Linked DNA regions of Sus scrofa. The protein of the gene in region 2 interacts with the protein of the main gene of each other region in a pairwise test. Links are inferred from orthologs where the notes say so. Each region holds a gene or a part of one and is shown on either strand. Other genes may lie near its edges.

The links.
Region 1: the proteins of ZBED1 (region 2) and EFHC1 interact in binary tests that used the Homo sapiens proteins (3 or more experiments, as listed by UniProt). The two-hybrid records come from large-scale screens. The link is inferred for Sus scrofa from reciprocal best matches to the Homo sapiens genes ZBED1 and EFHC1.

Annotation. Positions count from the first base shown.
Region 1 is NC_010449.5:46,300,400-46,303,915, reverse strand, and holds part of EFHC1 (EF-hand domain-containing protein 1), read right to left. Parts: intron 3,259-3,516; coding exon 3,045-3,258; intron 2,487-3,044; coding exon 2,339-2,486; intron 1-2,338. UniProt on the Homo sapiens protein: Microtubule inner protein (MIP) part of the dynein-decorated doublet microtubules (DMTs) in cilia axoneme, which is required for motile cilia beating.
Region 2 is NW_018085344.1:633,006-637,005, reverse strand, and holds the start of ZBED1 (zinc finger BED domain-containing protein 1), read left to right. Parts: upstream 1-1,200; 5' UTR 1,201-1,274; coding exon of another isoform or gene 1,275-1,383; intron 1,384-1,611; exon of another isoform or gene 1,612-1,829; intron 1,830-4,000. Other genes in the region: dehydrogenase/reductase SDR family member on chromosome X, read left to right, coding at 1,275-1,383.

The sequences.
Region 1 (3,516 bases), on a different chromosome or scaffold from region 2:
AAACAACAAGTGATAGAGCTAGAAGTTGACTTCAAGTCAAGCATGGTGGAGTTAAAGAAGAACTAGTTGACTGTGGACGGCTGACCGTGCTGCTGTCCCAGGGACTCCCGATGGGCAGCCAGAGGACCTTAGGAAGGCAGGCTTTACTGACATGAATGAAGGAAGAGATCTAAGGAAAAGAATGATGATATCCCAGATGCCAGCAACACGCTTCACATTAAAAGAACTCTGAGATAGTTCACTGTCATTAAAAGAACGCAAGGATGTATTTCACAACGTTGAAAGCAAAAATTTTTAAATGTTGGAAGTTGATCCAAACTTAGAAAGGAACATGACAATTTGCTAAGGCATAGAAAGAACGTTCGCTCTGTGTCATAAGCTACATGACAACAAGAAGGCAGGCACTACTCTGACGACTCTTTTCACAAAGAAATACAACACTGTGAATTCCCAGGGTTTCCAACTGTTTTAAATTGTAGTATACTAAATAGAAATCAATTTCACTAGTTTTTATTTCCCTACACTTTTATAACCATCAGAGTTTTCCATGGCTTGACCAAAGTTTTAACAGCTACAGAATAATAGTGAAGTTTCCCATTGGTACCAAGATTGCCTGCATGGCCACATTTATAGTTCTGCATCACCACGCAAAGGAGGTGGCCTTTGCATCTCTTTGGATGGATTCTAGGACACCACACCCACGTGGCTCTCTTCCTACCTCACTGGTTGTCCTGCCCAGTCTCTTTCCCAGCTCTTATGGTTGGAGGATCCCAGAGAGCAATTCTTGGCACTGTTCCCTCTTCTGTCTACAATGACTACTTTAGAGACTTCACCCAGTCTCCTGGCTTAAAATATCATCCATATGCCCCAACTCCCACATTTGTACTTCCAGCCCAGACCCCTCACCTGACTCCAGATTTACAACTACAACAGCCTGTTTGACATCTCTACTTGGACACCTAACAGGTATCAACCTACTATATCTAAACTGAAATCCCCCCACCAAAAACTCTCCTCCACCCACAAGGTACATCTCCCCATCTCAGTTCATGGCCATCCCCTTCTTCCCAGCTGCTCAGGACAAAAAACCTTAGTCATCCTTTATCATTCTCTCTCTTATTTTCCCTATACCATACTGCTGAAGCTTTATTAGCTCTATCTTAAGAGAGATCCAAAATCAGACCACTTGTCCCCATCTTCACTGGTGCTTCCCGGGTCCACACACCACCATCCTGTGCCTAGATTACAGCCATATTCTCCAAACTAATTTCCCTCCAAATCTGTCCTTAAAACAACAGCCATGGAGTTCCCATCGTGGCGCAGTAGTTAACAAATCCGACTAGGAACCATGAGGTTGCGGGTTTGATCCCTGGCCTTGCTCAGTGGGTTAAGGATCCAGTGTTGCCATAAGCTGTGGTGTAGGTTGCAGACTCGGCTCAGATCCTGCGTTGCTGTGGCTCTGGCGTAGGCCAGTGGCTATGGCTCTGATTCGACCCCTAGCCTGGGAACCTCCATATGCCGCAGGAGTGGCCCAAGAAATGGCAAAAAGACAAAAAAACAAAAAACAAAAAAACGGCCAGTTATTTTCAAATGATGTCAAATCTTGCCCCTCACTGTTCTCAGGAGCACACGATGGTTGTCCCTTTCACTCAGAGAAAAGCCAACTTATTCCCAAAGACCTGGCAGGTCGTACACCCTCTGGCCCCTGGCTAATGCTGTAACTCCAGCTCTGGCTCCTTCTCCTCTCACCCAATCCATGGCAGCCACGATCACAGCCTACCTCTTACCAGGGTTACTTGAGTTCTCCGGGCAGGCTAATACTTAGGGTCTAAAGGCTCACCAATCCCTCTTCCTCCAGACAGCCACACAGGGAACTCCTTCACCTTCAAGTGTTTGCTCCGGGTCACCTGTGGAAGGTGTGACCACCTTCCCCAATCAATTGTAACCCATCCCTCCCTTGTTTTGCTGCACTTTCCGATGGCACTCATCACCTAACACACCGTGTAACTGCCTCATTGTGCTGCTTATTAGCGATACTCGCTGCTTAGAAGGTCAGCTCCATGAGGGCAACAACTTCTTTGTTTACTAATAAAAGCCCAGGGGCCTCATGATAGTGTCTGACACATACTAGGCATCTGATAAGTATTTGCTGAATAACTGAAGTTGAAAAGGTCCTAAGTTACTAGTTATCACACTGGACCCAGGTAACCTGTGTATGTCTAGGGACTCCCATTTGGAGAAGGAAATCTGAGAATCTAGAATGTGATGACCCAGACGTCTATTCCCTGAGTATGTCACTGTACCACAGCCAAAGCAGACCTCAGATGGTCAAACATACCTGTCCAGTTCCAGTGCAGGAGTGTCTCGCCTTCGAATGTGGTTCTGAATTGACAGGAGAGCTTCTGGGGAAAACTGGGCAGGGTTGCTCTCCATGTATTTCAAAACATAGTCATCGGAATCGAGGATGACAAACCGGTGGCCAAACACTGGGGAGAGGAGAAAAACGCTTCACTTGGTTATGTTTTTTTGTTTGTTTTTATGTTTTTTTAGGGCCACACCCACAGCACATGGAGGTCCCCAGGCCAAGGGTCCAATCGGAGCTGTAGCCGCCAGCCTGCGCCACAGCCACAGCAACAAGGGATCCGAGCCAAGTCTTCGACCTACACCACAGCTCACCGCAACGCCGGATCCTCAACCCATTGAGCGAGGCCAGGGATGGAACCTGCAACCTCATGGGTCCTAGTCGGATTCGTTTTCTGCTGTGCCACGGGAACTCCCAGACTGGTGAACTTTCAATAGCTCTCTAAGCTAATACACAGTAGTTTGCTCAGTGTTTAGGAAGCTCACTTACAGCCAACAGAAGACCCCCACTTACAGTTTAACTGATGAAGGAGGAGATTAAGACACTGTGCCACATGTACGAGAATATTAGCTTTATCTCAACTAGACTGCAGACTAACTACCTCCTACAAGGGTTAACTGAGTTAAATCCCAAATAAGAACCCATTCATTTGGCTTAAAGCTTAAACTGTGCTGAGACCTACCTTCAATCACGGCACCAATGAAGAAGTCACTGGGGCCATAGTAGATGGGGTTTTCCATGGAGGAGTCGGGCTTGACAACTTTAGTTCTGCCGAGGTACTTGCCCCCAATGATCCCCGAATTTCGAACAGGAGGCTCAAAGATACTGATCATGTCAGTGGCTAGAAAATAAGATAAGACAAACCGGCGGCCCTTGTCTTCCGGGATGGGGGATTCCTGGGAAGGTGAAGAAAGGAGGACGTGATGAAGGTCCATGATCTATCCAGATGCCCCAGACTGAATACTTACAGTGACCAGGGGACAGTATAAACCTGACATGGGAAGTATAATATCGATGAACAGTACAGGGGGGTGGGGGGTCAGGAAAGAACACCTCATCTAAGGGAGGCTGCCCCAACTCTCCTCCAGCTGACTGTTGCCTTGTGGGAATGGAGCCACAATGTTGCTAGACCTTCTTATTTTTCATGAGAAGAC
Region 2 (4,000 bases):
GTCACGAGGGTGGGGTGGGCCCAAGGCAGGAGTTAGGGGGCTGGGTTGGGTTGATGTCAGGGTAGGGTCTCTGGCGCAGGGGTGGCCTGCAGTCCCGGTGGGGTCCCTGGACCAGGGGTCTGTAGTCCCAGGGTGGATCTGAGTGATGGTCCTGGGGTCTGTGCGGGGGCTCAAGGTGAGGGCGGGGCTTCCCTGGGTCTCCTGTCAGCACAGGGGCACATGATCTGGGTGGGGGGGGTCCATAGTTCTGTGTCCTGGGGTCCAGGAGGGGGAACCCTGGGGTCTGGGGTCAGGTGGGATCCCAGGATCCAGGCAGGAGTCATGGTCCGGGCTGGGTCCTTGGGTCTGGTGGGGCACTGACAGACAAGCAGGGGTCCCTGGGGTCTGCAGTTTAGGTGGGGGTCTGGGAAGGGGGTCTCTGGGGTCCATGGTCCTGGAGGGGGTCTGGGGTCCCGGGTCAGGCAGAGTTGGAGGGGGGTTCCCTGGCATCCACAGTTTGGGTGAGGGTCTGGGGGGATCCCTGGGGGTCTGTGGTCCTAGTGGGGGTCTGGGGTCCCGGGTCAGCCAGGGTTCAGGTTCAGAGCAGGACCCCCTGGGGTCCGCAGTTTGGATGGGGTTCCGGGGTCGGGAGTGGAGGTGGGGGATCCCTGGGGTCCGTGGTCCTGGAGGGGGCTCTGGGGGGGGTCTCTGGGGTCTGGGGTCCTGGTCAGCCGGGCTCCAGGGTCTGAGCGGGGGCTCCTGTGGTCCTCAGTTTGGGTGGGGGTCGGGGGTCTGGGGGGGGTCCCTGGGGTCCATGATCCTGGAGGGAGTCTGGGGGTCCCGGGTCAGGCGGGGTCAGGGGTCAGAGCGGGCGTCCCTGGGGTCCGCAGTTTGGGTGGGGGTCGGGAGGCTGGGGTCCCAGGGGTCTGTGGTCCTGGTGGGGGTCTGGGGTCCCGGTCAGGGAAGCTACGGGGTCCGAGCGGGGGCTCCTGGGGTCCTCGGTTTGGGTGGGGGTCTGGGGTCTGGGGGGGGTCCCTGGGGTCCATGATCCTGGAGGGAGTCTGGGGGTCCCGGGTCAGGCGGGGTCAGGGGTCAGAGCGGGCGTCCTTGGGGTCTGCAGTTTGGGTGGGGGGCCGGGGTCGCGGGTCAGGCGGGGGCGGGGGTCGGCGCGGGGCCGGCGGGCTGGCGGGCGGGCGCGCGGGCGCGGGGGGCGGGCCGCTGCGGGCGCGTTTCCGCCGTCCGGCCGGGCGAGCGCCGAGTCCCGCGGGCGGCGCGGAAGCGGCGGCCGGGCAGCCATGTCGCCTTTGTCTGCGGCGCGGGCGGCCCTGCGGGTCTACGCGGCGGGCGCGGCGGTGATCCTGGCGCAGCTGCTGCGCCGCTGCCGCGGGGGCTTCGCGGAGCCAGGTCAGCGGCCGGGGGCGGGCGGGCGGGGTCGGGGCGCGGGGCCGGCGGGTGGCTCGCGGCGGCGGCGGCGGCGGCGATGGCGGCGGCGGCTCCGGGCCCGGGCGGTGCGTCCCCCGCGGGGCGCAGCCCCCGAGGCGGGGGCAGAGCGGGGGAGGGGCGCGCCCGGGCCCCGCGTGCCCTTGACCGCGGCCTGGGCCCGTGCGCGGCGCCGGGCGCTCCCGGAAGCAGGGCCGGGCGGCCGCGGGGGTGGAGGGCGGGTCGCCCCGCCCGCCGCTCCTCCCCGCGCGCCCGAGGCCGGGGTCTCCCTGCGGTGTCGCGCGCCCCGACCCACCCAGCCGGGCCGGGCCAGGGTCCTCGGGGTCCCCAGGGTCCCGCGCGCCTGCCCCGCAGCTCCCCGCCCGGAGGGAGGAGGGCGCGCCGAGAGCCCGGCCTCCGCGCAGGGTCAGGTAGGACGGGCTCCGGGGGGCGTGCGGGGCCCGGGGGGGCCTCGGGGGCAGGGCCCTTCGCTTCAGGGGCACCTTGCTTCTGCGGCCTTAGCGACCTGCGCCCGCGGCGTCTGCGACCCCGAACTTTCCGGTGTCGGGACCGGTTCGCGCTCCGAGCGCTGCTGGGGGGCCCGCGAGGCGCTGTGTGGCCGGGGCCGCGTCGGCTCCCGTTGGCGCGCCTGGGACTTCAGCCGCAGACCCGGAGCGTTCCTGTCTGCCCTGATTTGCAAAGGAAGCAGGATAACGCCAGGCTCTGCGAGCATACGTGGCTTTTTATTTTTAGATGAACAGTAACTCCTTCCCAAACAGAGGGGTCGGTGGGGAGTGCGGTGCTGTGTTACTTTGTGGCCGCCTTTGGCGTGTGGCCTAAGGTGAGAAATCCTCGGAGGTCCGCTTCTGTTTCCACGCGGTTGGCACCGCCCGCCGCCTGTCTCTGGCACACACCCCTGGGCACCCCTGAGAGACTGGGGTGCAAACAGGCCAAGTGCATCTGACTGTGGCTGTGAAAAATACTTTAAATCCCTCCACCGCCCCACGCATGGGGGTGCCTGCGGCCCCACTTTGCAAACCTGCAGCTCTGCGCCCCACAGATAATTTTTTTTGGCGCCCCACCCTCCCCGTGGGGTGGAGACTTAGGGAACTCTTCCAGGTGTGCATGTGACAGAAGCGTTTCGTTTTACTGTCAACCTGATTTCTCATTCTTTCTTTCTTTTTTTTTAAACGCTTTGAGAGCGATTAGAATGGAATAGAGCGAGTCCCCGCTGTGGCGCATCGGGATTGTGGCGTCTCACGGGGAGGCAGGTTCGATCCCCAGCCTGGCACAGTGGGTTAAGGGGTCTGGCGCTGCTGCAGCTTTGGCCGTGGTCCCCGAGATCGGATCCCCGGCCTCCATATGCTGCCGGGTGGCCAAAAAAAAGAAAAAGGTATTTATTTTGGAGTTCCTGTTCTGGCTTAGCAGGTTCATTGCTGGAGGTTTCAGATATTTCTGTGAGAATCGGGTTCCATCTCTGGCACAGCTCAGTGGGTTAAGGATCCGACGTGGCCCTGAGCTGCAGCTGCAGCTCGGATCCGAGCCATAGCCTGGGAATGTCCATAGGCTGCCGGTGCAGTAGTAAAAAGAAAAACACACTTGAATTGAGAGTAAGGAGCCAGCCAGTACCTGGGGTTTGGGGCGGGGGCGGGGGGATGGGGGGTACAGGCAGAGGACACCTTTTAAATCAGGCCTGGCCTGTAAATAGTAAACAACGTTGGAAAGCTGTCCCAAGTGGCCCCCATTGACCCAAAGGGTGGCACCCCCCCGCCCCACGGGACAAGGTAGGCGGCTGGCTGTGCAGCTTTGCTCCCCCTGCGTGCCTCGCGCCCCTTCGGGGCAGGCTCTTCACCTGCTCAGGGACCTGGCAAGTGGAGGGTGGAATTGGAGCTTGCCACACCCCATTCCCCAGAAGGCCCGTCTCAAAAACGTGTTTGTGGTGCATCCAAACCAGGCCTTGCCTTGTTGTTTCCACCTGTTGATTTAGAAAAAGAGCAGAAAAGCCTGTAACCGGACCCACTGGGGACCAAGCGGTGTGTGGGCGGAGTGAAGCCTTCCTCCTGCTGGAGCAGAGGGTCAGCTCCGTTTAAGAGGAACTGGACGAGCTCTGCAAGCCACGTGGTCTGTTGGGTTAGAAATCCTTGCAGAGCTGGGGGGAGCCAGGCACGTGTGTCCTGAGTGTCTGGTGGTGGCCCTTGTCCCACATGTCACAGTCCTTCTGCTTTTTGACCTTTTTTTTTTTGCTAACTGGACGTAACTTTTGGCAAGGAGACATTGAACGTTGCCCCAGGTGGAGCTGAGCAGTAGCAGGCCCAGTCCACATGAAGCATAGCTGGGGGTTGTTTGGTTTTGTTTTAAACCTCAGAGGTTTTCTGGAGTTCCTCTTGTGGCTCGGTGGGTTAAGACTCCGACTAGGATCCATGAGGACGCGGGTTCTGTCCCTGGCCTCGATCTGTGGGTTAAGGATCCGGCGTTGCCACGAGCTGTGGGGTAGGTCACAGGTGCTGCTCGGATCTGGTGTGGCTGCGGCGAAGGGGCCGACAGCTGTAGCTCCCGTTCAACCCCTAGCCCTGGGACTTCCATATGCTGCAGGTGCGGCTCT